Callithrix jacchus: one gene and its partners. The protein of the gene in region 1 interacts with the protein of each later gene in a pairwise test. Links are inferred from orthologs where the notes say so. Each region holds a gene or a part of one and is shown in the gene's direction. Other genes may lie near its edges.

What was found.
Region 2: the proteins of CREB1 (region 1) and POGZ interact in a two-hybrid assay, tested with the Homo sapiens proteins (2 studies listed by BioGRID and IntAct). The link is inferred for Callithrix jacchus from reciprocal best matches to the Homo sapiens genes CREB1 and POGZ.
Region 3: the proteins of CREB1 (region 1) and TSSK4 interact in binary tests that used the Homo sapiens proteins (3 or more experiments, as listed by UniProt). The link is inferred for Callithrix jacchus from reciprocal best matches to the Homo sapiens genes CREB1 and TSSK4.
Region 4: the proteins of CREB1 (region 1) and CRTC1 interact in binary tests that used the Homo sapiens proteins (3 or more experiments, as listed by UniProt). The link is inferred for Callithrix jacchus from reciprocal best matches to the Homo sapiens genes CREB1 and CRTC1.

What each region holds. Positions count from the first base shown.
Region 1 is NC_133507.1:128,985,487-128,989,745, forward strand, and holds the start of CREB1 (cyclic AMP-responsive element-binding protein 1), read left to right. Parts: upstream 1-1,408; 5' UTR 1,409-1,504; exon of another isoform or gene 1,505-1,620; intron 1,621-4,259.
Region 2 is NC_133519.1:11,309,109-11,312,670, reverse strand, and holds part of POGZ (pogo transposable element with ZNF domain), read left to right. Parts: intron 1-482; coding exon 483-617; intron 618-729; coding exon 730-902; intron 903-1,068; coding exon 1,069-1,209; intron 1,210-2,593; coding exon 2,594-2,650; intron 2,651-2,906; coding exon 2,907-3,019; intron 3,020-3,298; coding exon 3,299-3,323; intron 3,324-3,454; coding exon 3,455-3,562. UniProt on the Homo sapiens protein: Plays a role in mitotic cell cycle progression and is involved in kinetochore assembly and mitotic sister chromatid cohesion.
Region 3 is NC_133509.1:58,511,255-58,515,464, forward strand, and holds the start of TSSK4 (testis-specific serine/threonine-protein kinase 4), read left to right. Parts: upstream 1-1,382; 5' UTR 1,383-1,607; coding exon 1,608-1,838; intron 1,839-2,198; coding exon 2,199-2,413; intron 2,414-3,017; coding exon 3,018-3,411; intron 3,412-4,100; coding exon of another isoform or gene 4,101-4,175; coding exon 4,176-4,210. UniProt on the Homo sapiens protein: Serine/threonine kinase which is involved in male germ cell development and in mature sperm function. May be involved in the Cre/Creb signaling pathway. Phosphorylates CREB1 on 'Ser-133' in vitro and can stimulate Cre/Creb pathway in cells.
Region 4 is NC_133523.1:17,472,692-17,476,253, forward strand, and holds part of CRTC1 (CREB-regulated transcription coactivator 1), read left to right. Parts: intron 1-2,230; coding exon 2,231-2,539; intron 2,540-3,562. UniProt on the Homo sapiens protein: Transcriptional coactivator for CREB1 which activates transcription through both consensus and variant cAMP response element (CRE) sites.

The sequences.
Region 1 (4,259 bases):
GAGAAGGAAAGATTGAGAGCAACAGAAGGAAAGGAGGCTCGTTAAGGGCAAAGTCCAGAAGAAAACAGTAGGGGACCTAGAGTACCAAGAATAACTCTTTCATTACAAAAGAAGTGAGTCAGGGGCGGAGTCCGGATTTGAACCCTCTCTGCTTCCTAAAGACACATCTCTTTTAGAAAAAGAATGATTAAGACTGGAGGCAGGGAGGGGTGGCTCACGCCTGTAATCCCAGCACTTTGGGAGGCTGAGTCGGGCGGATCACCAGAGGTCAGAAGTTCCAGACCAGCCTGGCCAACATGGTGAAACCCTGTCTCCAGTAAAAATACAAAAATTAGCTGGGCGTGGTGGCGGGTGCCTGTAATCCCAGCTAATTGGGAGACTGAGGCAGGAGAATCGCTTGAACCCGGGAGGCGGAGGTTGTAGTGAGCCGAGATAATAACACTACACTCCAGCCTGGGTAACAAGATTGAGACTCTGTCTCAAAAAAAAAAAAAAAAAAAAAAAGGACTTCAAAGCCCAGAGACAGAGAGAGGGCTGCAGAGTTTACTACCAAGGAGAATGGGGACCTAGTGGTGTGGCCTGGGCAACCTCTAAGAGAGCAGTTCAGTAGTTTCCAGCCACGGAAGTTCCCCTGCTGGGTTCACAGTGCTGAGGGTGCGAATCCCTTGCTGTAGAAAACAGGCTGAGGAAAGAACGCGACACAGGATGTTGTCTGGAGAAAGGCGGGGAGGTGGAATAGGGCATATTTCCAGTGGTCCAGGCAGGCCCGGGCAGAACCCGAGAGGTGCCACGGTATCCGAGCCAACGTCCCCCGGGAAACCATGCCCCGCCGGAGGCCTCCGGGTTTCTCCGCTGAGTCTCCGAAAGGAAAACTCGTCCCCACTGGGTCCCACGACGTCCCCGAACCCCAAGCCCCAGGCCCTGGGACGCTGGCAGAGGCGCAGCAGCCCTTCCTCCCCAGCCTGCACGGCTCCCGCGGTCCGTCCGCGTTCCAGCCGGAGCGGCGCTGCGCCCGCTTGCCGGCGGCGTCGGAAAGTTCCCGGGGCTGGAGGCGCTGAAGGGCAGAGCCCGCGGCTCACCGCCGCAGAGGCAGGCCTGCGCGGGGGTTTCCACTAAGTCGCTGACACCCCTCGGGAATTCCCCACTGGGCCACACACAAACCCCGTTTCCTCCTTCAAATTTCCGCCGCCGGCTTTATCGATTCGAACGCAGCGTAGCGGTTTAGACCACCCCTCCCAGCGCGGGGCTCAACCCGTCTTCGCCTTCCTCTACCGGCGCAACCTCTTCGCCTCGCCCGAAGAAGCCCGAAGGCCTTCGGCAAGTTCCGTCCCCAGCGCGGGGGTGGGGCCGCTCGAGCTCCTCCGGGCCGAGCTCGGCTGTTTCCGTGCGCGGCCGCTGCGCACTCGGCACTGGGCGGCGCTGGCTGGCTCCCTGGCTGCGGCTCCTCAGTCGGCGGCGGCTGCTGCTGCCTGTGGCCCGGGCGGCTGGGAGAAGCGGAGTGTTGGTGAGTGACGCGGCGGAGGTGTAGTTTGACGCGGTGTGTTACGTGGGGGAGAGAATAAAACTCCAGCGAGATCCGGGCCGTGAACGAAAGCAGTGACGGAGGAGCTTGTACCACCGGTAAGAGGAGCAGGAGGAGGAGGCAGGAGCCAGAGAGAGCCGGGGGGACGGAGGGGGGACGGGGAGGCGCCGGACACCCGCGCTTGGGGCCTTCCCCTCGCAGGAGGGGCCGCGGTAAAGATGGAGCCTCCGCCCGAGCCCCACAACATCGCCGCCGCTCGCAGCGAACAAAGAATAATGGCGGCGGACTGGAGCCAGCGGCGGCCGGGGCGGCAGCGACTCTGCCTGCAGCCAGCGGCGGCGCTCATGGCGGGGGGCGGCGGGCGGCGGGCGGCGGGCGGGGTGGGAGCCGGCGGCCGGGGGTGTGTGCGGGCGGCCGGCCGCGGCGAGCTGGCGCCCGCGTTCCCGCCGCCGCCGCCGGGCCGGGCGCGAAGCCGGGAGCCGGGATCCGGGAGCCGCCCCGGGGGAGGCCGCCTGCTCGGCCCTGAGTTGCCCCCAGCGCAGCTCGCTCATCCGGCCCCCGCCGCCCGCCTCGCCCCCGACCCGACCCGGCCCGGCCTCCGGGGCAGCCGCCGCCTGGGTGCCAGTGGGGGTGGAGGAGGAAGAAGGCGACAGTTGAGGGCAGAGGAGGTGAAGGTGCCTGCTGCCTTCCCGGTGGCCTCGCTGTCTGCCATGCCCGCTTCGCAAGGGGAAGAGCTGCAACGTCTGACCTACTCTTCTCTCCACTCTTTGTGCAATAAAGTTCGAAACCCAAGGTTTCCTCTCGTGCTGTATTTTATTCATGCCCTTTCCCTCCCGCTCCCACACCGTTGAGGAAATGCTGCTTTCTGCCCTGTGTTGCTTAGTTGAGAGATGAGGGCTTGTGCCTGGGGGGAATTTTTGACTCCCTCACCCCCTTGCCTTTTTTTTTTTTTTTTTAATTAATCCTGTAGTCATAGAAATGCATGCTTTTTGGGAGAAAGGGTGCTAAAAAAAAACATTTGTAGTAACTTTAAAGAACTGTTGGAATCTTATAAAAGGGAAGCTGGTGTTTGAAAACAGTTTCGGTTTTAACCCTTTTCAATAAGGTAATTATCACTTTGAAACACTTCGTTGAAACGAGTATCAGCGGACGTACTCTTGTTTTACATCATTTCGCGGGGTGCAGCCTTGTCAACCGCGTTTTGGGTCATCTGACTCTCCCTACACCCTCAGTCCCACCCCCCTACCATATTTCCCACAAATTTCTGTGTGAACTTTAATGAGAGACGGAATACTAATTCTAAAAATAGACTTTTAAGTATCCATTATTTGTCTCTCATGCAGTAGGTAACCCCGGTCTTGAGACTGAGAATTTAAGCCACAAGCTGTATTTTTTCTTTGCCTGTTGGGAAAAAAGGACAGCAGAAAAGTCATTTAAAAATTAAAAGACAATTTTTAAAGGACATGTCGTATGACCTATTTAAGTTTGTAATGCCATCCCAAGTTATAATTCTAACCTCGGCTTACGACTGCCTTCTAAAGGTTTAGTGGAAGATACTTTTGATTGCTGCCTCTTGAAATCTTTTATATTTATGGCTCATTTCCTGATTTAAAAGTCAAGCCCCAAGCAGTTATTTTAGGTGGTGCAAAAGATGAACAAGTTTGTTTTAAAAGTATTTGTCTGTCACTGTATGGTTGCATTGTGATTGATACACACAAGGCTTCTGGTTAGGAACAAATATTAATTAGCAGTAGAAACAGTGTCTTATTTTTCTCTATGTAAGTCACTTTTCCAAAACCTGCTTTGCTGTATTGCTTCTCTTTAAAAAAGACCACATTATCAATTTGTCATTGCCAAGAAAATAAGATACAGTAAAGAGAGGTTCTCTATAAATATTGGGAAAATGATTTTACTTCCAATCGCTGAGAAAATTATTACAGTATTGATAATGGTAGGTTACTGTTTTTCCTTAATGATGTTCTGCAAGCCACCATCAGTTGAGTAGAATTTTTTTTCTTGTTAAGCTTATACGCGGTGGCTCATGCCTGTCTGTAATCCCAGCACTTTGGGAGGCCAAGGCGGGCGGATCACCTAAGGTCAGGAGTTCGAGACCAACCTGACCATGGAGAAACCCCGTCTCTACCAAAAATACAAAATTAGCCGGGCGTGGTGGCGCATGCCTGTAATCCTAGCTACTCGTGAGACTGGGGCAGGACAATCGCTTGAACCCGGGAGGCAGAGGTGAGGGTGAGCCAAAATCACACCATTGCACTCCAGCCTGGGCAACAAGAGCGAAACTCCGTCTCAAAAATAGTAATATACGCCGGGCGCAGCGACTTATGCCTGTAATCCCAGCATTTTGGGGGGCCTGGGTGGGCGGATGACTTGAGGTCAGGCGTTGGAGACCAGCCTGACCAACATGGTGAATCTAGTCTCTACTAAAAAAAAAAAAAATTAGCCGGGTGTGGTGGCTCGCGCCTATAATTCCAGCTACTCGGGAAGCTGAGGCAGGAGAATTGCTTGAACCCAGGAGGCAGAGGTTGTAGTGAGCCAAGATCGTTCCACTGCACTTCAGCCTGGGTGACCGAGTGAGACTCCATCTCAAAAAAAGAAAAAAAAACCACAAAAAATTGTTTACTGATATGTTCTTTCTTTAGTCTTGCCCAAGAGATATTTTCATTTATTTATTTATTTATTTATTTATTTATTTGAGATGGAGTTTTACTCTTGTTGCCCA
Region 2 (3,562 bases), on another chromosome or scaffold:
ATGAAAGCATGCTCAGGAACTGGTAATAAGTTGTTTCTGTGGAAAGGGACTGAGTGTCAGAGTTGAAGGCAAACTTGGAAGAGTACAGAAAAAAACGTTTGACTTTTATTTACTGTGTACGTTATCTTTCTTTAAAAAAAGAAGAATGTCCAGGAGAATGTCTAATTGTCAGCAGTGTAAAGATATTATACAAATAGAGGTTACATCACTCATTCAGATTGCTAAAATAAGTCAGGAAAGGATGGTTTGAGAACTTGGTCATCCGGGCCTGGAATCCATCTTTCTTTGGGATCATGGGAGGTGATGATTCTCAGTGGTAGGTTTTGTGGTCATGTTGTGTATTTCTTTCTTACTCTCTTATTATTAACAGAAAGCGGGGAAGAATGATGTGGTTGGCATTTATCTGCTTACTTCTCAAAGAAGATTTATTAGGAACCTTTAAGGGATTTTTGTCTCTTTTTACCTCCCCTCCCCCACTTCAGAAGAGAAACGTTTATCACTGCAACAAATGCCGGCTGCAGTTTCTCTTTGCCAAGGACAAAATTGAACACAAGCTTCAACACCATAAAACCTTCCGTAAACCCAAGCAGCTGGAGGGCTTGAAACCAGGCACCAAGGTAAAGGGTTTGCCAGTGTCTTTTATAGGCTTAGGGAGGGAGGAATAGAGATTTTCAGTATTCTGAAATTTAGTGTGGGTGATATCTCATTGTTCCTTCCCTTGACTCTCAGGTGACAATCCGGGCTTCCCGAGGGCAGCCACGAACTGTTCCTGTATCCTCTAATGATACACCTCCCAGCGCCTTGCAGGAGGCAGCACCACTGGCCTCCTCAACGGACCCTCTGCCTGTCTTCCTTTATCCCCCTGTCCAGCGCAGCATCCAGAAGAGAGCTGTTAGGAAAATGTCAGCGCCTTCTTCTAAGTGCTGGGCGGTGGGGGGCTGGGTGGGCAGAATTATTCCTGATACACAATGCGATCTGGTAGCTTTTTAGCAGAATTTCTTGTCTGAAAATCCTACATTTTGGGGAACCCTGAGGCAGTAATGAGAATTCTCCTTTTCTTCCCTACAGGAGTGTCATGGGCCGGCAGACATGCCTGGAGTGCAGCTTCGAGATTCCAGACTTCCCTAATCATTTCCCTACTTATGTGCACTGCTCTCTGTGTCGCTATAGCACCTGCTGCTCTCGAGCTTATGCCAACCACATGATCAAGTAAGTTGTTTCAACCAATGTTTCAGCTTGAGAGTTCAGATTCTTCTCACGCCTATAATCCCAGCACTTTGAGAGGCCGACGCGGGTGGATCACGAGGTCAAGAGATCGAGACCATCCTGGTCAACAACGTGAAACACCGTCTCTACTAAAAATACAAAAAAATTAGCTGGGCATGGTGGCGCGTGCCTGTAATCTGGCTACTCGGGAGGCTGAGGCAGGAGAATTGCTTGAACCCAGGAGGCAGAGGTTGCAGTGAGCCAAGATCATGCCATTGCACTCCAGGCTGGGTAACAAGAGTAAAACTCTGTCTCAAAAAAAAAAAAAAAGTTCAGATTCTTTTTTTTTTTTTTTTTTTTTTTTTTGGTTAGAGACAGGGTCTTGTTCTCTTCCCAGGCTGGAGTGCAGTGGCACAATCTCGGCTCACTGCAACCTCTGCCTCCTGGGTTCAACTGATTCTCCTGTCTCAGCCTCCCTAGTAGCTGGGATTACAGGTGTGCACCACCACACCTGGCTTAATTTTTTTTTGCATTTTTAGTAGAGACGGGATTTCACCAAGTTGGCCAGGCTTGTCTCAAACCCCTGAGCTGAGGTGATCCACCCGCCGTGGCCTCCCAAAGTGCTCGAGGAGCCACCGTGCCTGGCCCTGGCCAGATTCTTGAGCACTCATTTCATTTTCTTCCCTGTTCCTAATGTTTCCTCCTTCAACTCTTAGAGCTATTTGTTCTTCTCTCCTAGCAGAGTGAGTGGCTTTATTTTTTGGTTTTGATGGTCTGTGCTCTAATTTCACAGGACCTTGCTACTCAAGGACCAGCAGTATTAGGTGGGAGCTTGTTAGAAATGCTGACTCGGGCCAGGCACGGTGGCTCAAGCCTGTAATCCCAGAACTTTGGGAGGCCGAGGCGGGTGGATCACAAGGTCAAGAGATCGAGACCATCCTGGTCAACATGGTGAAACCCCGTCTCTACTAAAAATACAAAAAATTAGCTGGGCATGGTGGTGCGTGCCTGTAATCCCAGCTACTCAGGAGGCTGAGGCAGGAGAATTACCTGAACCCAGGAGGCGGAGGCTGCGGTGAGCCGAGATCGCGCCATTGCACTCCAGCCTGGGTAACAAGAGCGAAACTCCGTCTCAAAAAAAAAAAAAGAAATTCTGACTCTCAGCCCCACCCTAAGTCTACTGAATCAGGATGTGAATTATAATAGATCCTCAGGTGATTTGTATGCACATTGAAGTTTAAGAAGCACAGTGACAGGAAAACTGGCTTAGGTTGAGAATAGGATGCACTGAAGAAGGGTCTCTTGTTGGGGGCGTTGTCACTGGCTGGTGATCTCTAGCTTAGCCAGCAGCGCTCTATAACTCAAACCACTTCTTTGTCTTTCTCAGCAATCATGTTCCACGGAAAAGCCCCAAGTATTTGGCTTTGTTTAAAAATTCTGTGAGGTAAGAAAAAACTTACTGGAAACATCTTAATTTTTCAGGGTTTTTTGTTGTTGTTTTGTTTTGTTTTCCCTTTTTTTTTTAAATTTTTCAGGTTTTTACATGAAATTCTTTTCATTATTTGGGGAGGTGGTTATGTGAATTAATTTTAGAAAAAAGAGAAATTTGGGAGGGCATTCCTTTTCTTAAGCCTCAAAGCTTAATGGTCTCAAGTGTCACTGCTGTATTTATCTTATATATTCTTGATTCTCTCTTTTAGTGGAACCAAGCTGGCCTGCACTTCGTGTGCCTTTGTTACCTCTGTGGGCGATGCTATGGCCAAGCATTTGGTATTCAACCCCTCTCACAGATCCAGCAGCATCCTGCCACGGGGTATGTAGGAGGGATGGGAATTAGCTGAGCAAGAGGAGGAAAAAAGATACAGGACGTACTGTATGCGTCAGGAGCATGCCTACCTGGCCCCACCCGTTCACTCTTGAGATATACTGTACCAAATTAGAAACCTTCCAGCCTGAAGTTTATATAAGACTGGGAAAGTTGGGCACTGTGAATGGCATACTTGTATGTAGTAGGTTGAAATCCCAGGGCACTGTCTTTGGAAAGCTTATTTCTTCACTGAGCTAACTTTTTTTATTGTTTGATTTTCCATAGGACTCACTTGGATAGCTCACTCAAGGTAACGAAAACTCTCACCTCACAAGTTAATTTCTGGTTTGCAGTGTGTGTTATTATTATTATTACATTATTATTTCAGTTCCCTAGTTGAACTGAGATTTATCCTCTTCTCTTTGCTCCTCACCCATTTAGGCACGGCCAGACTCGTGACCGAGTGCATGACCGGAACGTGAAGAATATGCACCCTCCTCCTTCCTTCCCCACTAACAAAGCTGCTGCTGTGAAGTCTGCGGGGGCCAC
Region 3 (4,210 bases), on another chromosome or scaffold:
TACAGAAAAGCAGTTATTTGGATGAAGCAAACCAAACAACTCCTTTTCTGTATGTGTGGCAAACAAATATTGTTCTGTATTGGTGGCAAACAAATACAGAAAAAAAATTTTTTTCTGTATTTGTGTGTTAAAAAAAAATTTTTTTTCTATATTTGTGTGTTAAAAAATAAAATTGGGGAGGCAAGCAGGATCAGACTTAAAGCTGCATGAAACAATTTGGATGGACTTGATCCAGAGGAGAATGAGGAGGTATTTAATTGTTTCAAATGGAAATAAAATCAGATTTATGCTTTAGTCTTAAGGATGGACAGACTGGAGGGGAGCAGAAGGCTGGCTGGGGCAATCTGTTCACTGATAGAGGTGTAAACTAAGGAAGTGGCAGTGGGCTCAGAAAGCCATACGAGTATTATTAAACAGATAATCAAGAGGTAGAAGAGATAGGATTTGGTGATAGATTGTATGTAGGGGCTGAGGCAGGAGGGTTTGGGATGACATTTGAGTGTCTAAATTAAGGGTGATTAATGTACAACTTACAGAAAGGTCTGTAAGAAGAAAATAAGTTCAATTTTTGATATGGCTAAGTTCGAGGCAGATAATGGTAAGTTCCATGCCTGGGACGGACATGGCCATATAATATTGGCTGCTCTATCTAAACTCCAGAGACACATGGGATGGAGATGAAATTAGGAGCAGTCAGCATAAATGTAGTATTGACTTCATGGGTATGGACAAGATCATTAAGGGAGGATGTGAAGGTTTGAGAAAATAAAACTTATGATAGAACACTTGGGATATGATTCAGGATTGAATGGAGAAAGATTTAGCTTTAGTGAAGGCTGAGGAATGACCAGAAGGATGTGGAGGAAAACTAGAGAGTTCTGGGTCATGATAAGCATGCATTTCAAGGTTAGATTTTCCTAGAACATGTTCAACACCTTACAATTATAATACTTTCACACTCATATTTCTCATGCTGCATTATAAATTCTAGGATTATTGTGTCTCTATTGGCCTTATTGAACTAAGGGGCTGCAGTAGGCTCAGAAAGTCTTGAGTGTATCATTAAAGAGATAAGTAGGAGGTAGCAGAGACAGGATTTGATGATAGATTGTATGTAGGGATTGAGGAAGAAGGAAGGGTCTGGCATGACATTTGGGTGACATTTTATCCAAGTACTCAGCACACTGTTACTTAGTCGGTTCTCATATATTAATGATGGGGCTGATCTTTAGGAGGAGTGTCACCAGACTGGAAGATACCTCTGGGAATGAGTATGTTTCACACTGTAGTTCATTCTTAAGTTTTGTGGCCAAAAACGGATAGGAGGTGGATTGTGATGTATTTGGAACATGGGACCTTGAGGAGTTCCGTAACCAAAAGGAGGAAGTAACAACAGCCAGTAGAGACAAAAACTGCTTCTCTTTCTTTCCCCCTCCAAGTTCCTAGTGGAGGGCTGAGCCAAGCATCCCAGACTCGTGTGACTATATAGGCAAGCATTTGGAGACCTATTTCACTTTGATACCCTAGCCTTCAGCGGCTCAAGGTGTTGGCTTTGAATAGGAGGCTTCCAAGTAGTAAAGCTCCCTGCTCTTAGCAAACCCAACACCATGGGGAAGGGAGATGTCTCAGAGGCAGCACCAACCACCACAGCCACAGCCTACCACTCCATCATGGATGAATATGGTTATGAGCTGGGCAAGGTCATTGGCAATGGCTCCTATGGGACAGTATATGAGGCTTTCTACACAAAGCAGAAGATCATGGTGGCAGTCAAGATCATCTCAAAGAAAAAGGCCTCTGATGACTATCTTAACAAGTTCATGACCCGTGAGATACAGGTTAGAAAGGGGGCTGGAAGAGGGAACTGAAGCTTGGTACTAAGCTGCTTGAGGTTTCTCAGAAGGGGTATGGCCAGGAGGGGTGGGGCCAGAAACCCCTAAACCAGAACTGAATGTCTCACTAAGCAGCTAGGAAGATTTATGTAAATTAAACCTCTTTCCCATCCACCCACTCACCTCTAGCCCCACAAAAAGTAAAAGTGTAAAACATAGGGTTTGCCCACAGGCCACTAGTTCTCTGGGGTTCAGGGGTTGATCCTTTTGCAAAGTTCTAAGTAAGTAGCTAAGGGTAGGAGATGGCTGGGAATGGAGTCAGGGTTCTCCCTTCCCAGGTTTGATGGGTCTTTATTCTGGGGTCAGGTAATGAAAGTCTTGCGGCACAAGTACCTCATCAACTTCTATCAGGCCATTGAGACCACATCTCGAGTATACATCATTCTGGAGCTGGCTCAGGGTGGTGACGTCCTTGAACGGATCCAGCGCTACGGGGCCTGCTCTGAGCCCCTTGCTGGCAAGTGGTTCTCCCAGCTGACCCTGGGCATTGCCTACCTGCACAGCAAGGGCATCGTGCACCGGTGAGGTCGCTGCCACCCAGACTGGGGCCTTTGCTCTCAAGGGGGTTTTATGCACATCTCTCATTTCCTTCCCTTTTTTCCTCTCTCAAACTCCCTCCTTAATATCTAGGCCTATTCATGCACTCTATTATAATCATGTGGTTAAGGATACTAATAAAGTACTCACTCTATGGAGAGCTTTTGTTTTTTTCGAGATGGAGACTTGCTCTGTCGCCCCCATGCTGGTGTGATCTCAGCTCACCACAACCTCCGCCTCCTGGGTTCAAGCAATTCTCTTGCCTCAGCCTCTTAAGTAGCTGGGGTTACAGCCGCATGCCATCATGCCCAGCTAATGTCTATATTTTTAGTAGAGATGGGGTTTCACCGTGTTGATCAGGCTGGTCTTGAACTCCTGATCTCGTGATCCGCCTGCCTGGGCCTCCCAAAGTGCTGGGATTACAGGCATGAGCCACCACGCCCATCCTGGAGAGCATTTTATGAAATACGATGGTGAGCTCCCAGTGGTCTTCAGATACGATCCTCTCTCTCTCCTCACTTTGGACTCTCCTTACCCTCTGACCCCTGGCCCTTCAGCTCCCAGTCTAAAACTAAGCCCTCTCCCCAGCCTGACGCCCAGCCTTTCTGCTGCTGGTAGGGACTTAAAGTTGGAGAACCTGTTGCTGGACAAGTGGGAGAGTGTGAAGATATCGGACTTTGGCTTTGCCAAGATGGTGCCTTCTAACAACCATGTGGGTCATAGCGCTTCTTACCGCCAAGTGAACTGCTTTTCCCACCTTAGCCAGACTTACTGTGGCAGCTTTGCTTATGCCTGCCCAGAGATCTTACTAGGTTTGCCCTACAACCCTTTCCTGTCTGACACCTGGAGCATGGGCGTCATCCTTTACACTCTAGTGGTTGCTCATCTGCCCTTTGACGACACCAATCTCAAAAAGCTGCTGAGAGAGACTCAGAAGGAGGTCACTTTCCCACCTAACCTCACCGTCTCCCAGGAGTGCAAGGTACTGGCTACTGCAGGAGGGCTGAGGCCTCAGGGATGACCCACAGGGAGGGGTGAATATCCATCCTAGGTCACCCAACCTAGGCCTCCCAACCCTGGGGTAAGGCTCTTCCCACACCAGAGCCATTTCACACACTAGCTCCTGCCCTATAATAGAATGGAGCCAGCAGGTGTGGAGGCTCACGCCTGTAATCCCTAACACTTTGGGAGGCCAAGGTGGGTGGACCACGAGATCAGGAGTTCGAGACCAGCCTGACCAGTATGGTGAAACCCTGTCTCTAATAAAAATACAAAAATTAGCTGGGTGTGGTGGTGGGTGCCTATCTGTAATCCCAGCTACTCAGGAGGCTGAGGCAGAGAATCGCTTGAACCAAGAAGTGGGGGTTGCAGTGAGCTGAGATGGTACCACTGCACTCCAGCCTGGGTGACAGAGTGACTCCATCTCAAAAAAAAAAAAAAAAAAAAAGTATGGAAGGCATAAAGGGCCAACCAGTAGGCTCCAAACCTTGCTTGATATGCAGGTTCCAGCTTCTGCCTCTTTAGGCCAGAAGGGGATTATGGAAAGCATTCCTCCCAAGGAACTTTTCACTCCCCCTCCAGGGAGTTAATTGCCTGGCTCTCCAAGATAAAATCAGAGCCACACCCCGTTTGACAAGAGTGGTATGATAGGCTATCCTGCTTCTTTCTTAGGTCGAGCTGCTCATTGCCTGCGTGGCACAATGGAGAAAAACTCAGGCAAGACCTCCTCTCTCTCCCCTGCTCTAGAACCTGGTCCTTCAGATGCTGTGCCAAGCTGCTAA
Region 4 (3,562 bases), on another chromosome or scaffold:
TCCCTCTTTGTTGCCTCATCAGTGCGGCTTCATAGAGTGAGTTAGGAATGTTCATTTCTCCTTCGTTTTTCAGAAGCATTTTTAATTCCTCTTTAAATGTTTGGTAGAATTAAGTGGGCATAATGATAAATTCCTGTAGTCCCAGGTACTTGGGAGGCTGAAGTGGGAAGATTGCATGAGCCAGGTGTTTGAGTCCAGCCTGGGCAATGCAGTGAGACCCCATGTCTTAAAAAAAGAAAAGAAAAGGCTGGGCGTGGTGGCTCACGCCTGTAATCCCAGCACTTTGGGAGGCCGAGGTGGGTGGATCATGAGGTCAAGAGATCGAGACCATCCTGGTCAACATGGTGAAACCCCGTCTCTACTAAAAATACAAAAAATTAGCTGGGCATGGTGGCGTGTGCCTGTAATCCCAGCTACTCGGGAGGCTGAGGCAGGAGAATTGCCTGAACCCAGGAGGCGGAGGTTGCAGTGAGCCATTGCACTCCAGCCTGGGTAACGAGCGAAACTCCATCTCAAAAAAAAGAGTTTGGTAAAATCACCAGTGCAGCCACCTGCATCTTAGCTCAAATCTGTTGGGAAATTTGCAATTTCTTCTTACTTCTTATAAGGCTATTCAGGTTTTCTGTTCTTCCTTGAGTCACTTTTGGTCATTTGTGCATTTCTAGAAATTTATCCGTTTTGTCTTTTTAAAAACAAAACAAAAAACTCTAACAGAGAACATTATGTCTTAAATATTGTTTTATTTTATTTTATTTTTGAGACGGAGTCTCACTCTGTCACTCAGGCTGGAGTGCAGTGGTACGATCTCGGCGATTCTTTTGCCTCGGCCTCCCAAGTAGCTGGGACTATAGGTGCGCGCCACCATGCCTGGCTAATACTTTGTTATTTTTAGTAGAGACGGGTTTCACCATATGAGCCAGGATGGTCTTGATCTCCTGACCGTGATCTGCCCACCTCGACCTCCCAAAGTGCTGGGATTACAGGCCTGAGCCACTGCACCCAGCCATTTTTAATTTTTGTTTTATTACTGTTTTTGAGACAGTCTCACTCTTGCCCAGGCTGGAGTGCAGCAGCGTGCTCTTGACTTTACTGCAGCCTCCGCCTCCTGGGTTCAGTCGATTCTTGTGCCAGCCTCCTGAGTAGCTGGGATGACAGGCGTGTGCCTACCTCACCCAGCTAAGTTTTGTATTTTTAGTAGAGATGGGGTTTTGCCATGTTGGCCAGGCTGGTCTCGAACTCCTGACCTCAAGTGATCCCCCGCCTCAGCATCCCGAAGTGCTGGGATTGCAGATGTGAGCCACCGCGCCCACCACTTGTCTGTTTTTAACATAACCACAGTGGCACCGTCCACCTACAACGAAGTTAATGGTAGTTCCCTGGCAATGCCTGGCCTGGACTCCATTTCTCCCTGCCCCTCAGCCCCCATCTTCTGTCTGCTTACAAAATTGTCTTATTCAGATCAAGACCCAGACAGATCTGTGGGCGCTGGCTCCTGGCAGCTGTGTCTTCAGCCTCTTCGTGAGCTAGGCTGTTTCAATCTGACACCTGCCCCTTTCTCTATCTGGAACCTCCTTTCTCTTCTCAGAGGCTGGGCATCTTGCTGAGTGGTTTCTGTCCCATAGTTCCTGGGCACGCTCAGCCTTTCTTAGAGGGCAGGAACCCCCACCTTCCCCAAGGACTGTCAGCATGGTAGCCCCTGGCTGAGTTTCCACAGACTCAGCGAATGTCACACACTTCCCTCCCACTGATTTTACTCTTTCCATCTCTGAGAAGGCCCTGAGCCAGCCCTTGGTGAGGGCCAGGCTGGTGTCTCCAGTATCCTCAGAGCAGGCAAGGCTTCGGGCAGGGGGGAGGGTTTGGAAACCAAGGCAGGTGGATCACTTGAGGTCTCCCGACAGCACCCACAGGGGCTGAGAACTGGCCGCTCACTGAGCCAGCAGGTGTGGCCATCCCGTGTCTTGCCTGAGCTTCGTGGCATGTAGTGGGGATGTAAGTGCAAGGAACTGCAGGAGCTCAGGCCTGTCCAGCTCCAGCTGACCCCCTGGGGCCCTGGGTGAGGCCCACCTCTCTAGCCTGGCCTCCCTCATCATGAGGAGCACCCAGCCCAGGGGCTACCTATGATCACAGGGCCCCTCCACCCGCCTGCTGAGCATGCCAGGCTGTGGGGGCCCGAGGGGAACAGGCATTGGCAGCCAGGGCCCGCCCCGCCTGATGCCCATCTCTCCCACAGGCCGTGGCCATGGATGCCCTGTCTCTGGAGCAGCAGCTGCCCTATGCCTTCTTCACCCAGGCGGGCTCCCAGCAGCCACCGCCACAGCCCCAGCCCCCGCCGCCCCCTCCGCCAGCGTCCCAGCAGCCGCCACCCCCACCACCCCCGCAGGCATCCGTCCGCCTGCCCCCCGGTGGCCCCCTGTTGCCCAGCGCCAGCCTGACTCGTGGGCCACAGCCACCCCCGCTCGCAGTCACGGTACCATCCTCTCTCCCCCAGTCCCCCCCAGAGAACCCCGGCCAGCCATCAATGGGGATCGACATTGCCTCGGTAAGCCCAGCATGGGGTCCTTTGGGGCCTGGCTGGGGATCTTGGGGAGGACAGCCTGGAGGATGCAGAACAGTCGAGTTACTGCATGGGCCAGGGGCCAGGACCCCAGCGAACACTGCCCAGCCCGGCACTCCATGGGGCTACCCCTTGGAATCAAGCTGAGACTGTCACTACCCATAGAGATGGGGAAACTGGGCTGGGCGTGGTGGCTCACGCCTGTAATCATGACACTTTGGGAGGCTGAGGAGGGAGGATGACCTGAGGTCAGGAGTTCAAGACCAGCCTGCCCAAAATGGCAAAACCCCATCTCTACTAAAAAAAAAAATACAAAAATTAGCCAGGCACAGTGGCAGGCGCCTATAATCCCAGCTACTTGGGAGGCTGAGGCAGAAGGATCGCTTGAACCTGGGAGGCGGAGGTTGCAGTGAGCCAAGATGGCACCACTATACTCCAGCCTGGGCAACAGAGCAAGACTCTGTCTCAAAAAAAAAAAAAAGAGATAGAGAAACTGGGGCACAAGCAGGTGGCTGGCCCCAGACTCCACCCACAATGGGCCACTCCATATTTAACTGCCAGGTACCCCCTCTTGGTCTCTCGGGACCCTCCCACCCAAAGCCAGGCTTCCTTGGAGGTGAGAAAAGCACAGTGTTCTGGGGCTTGGGTGCAGGCTCCCAAAGGCCAGGGGATGACATGAGCTTACCAGGGAAGGATGGCCGAAGCCAGCTCAAGAAGCAGTGGCCCATGAGACACAGTGCCTGGGACCCAGGGCCGGGGGCCATAACTCAGACCATGGAATCTTCTGCCCAGGGCCAGGCTCAGGCAGGCCAGGACTGGGTACTGGGTACGAGGTGCTGACCCCTGTACCCACAGACCTTCCTGACTGTGCACACTTCTACCTGCTTGCTCCAGTGCTGGGGGCGGGTTGGGAAACAGCTGCTTTGGGCCACATCCAGGGAAGCAGGGACCTGCGTTTGGGGGACAACAAGCCCTCCCACTTGACCCCAGCTGCCAACCCCAGGCTAA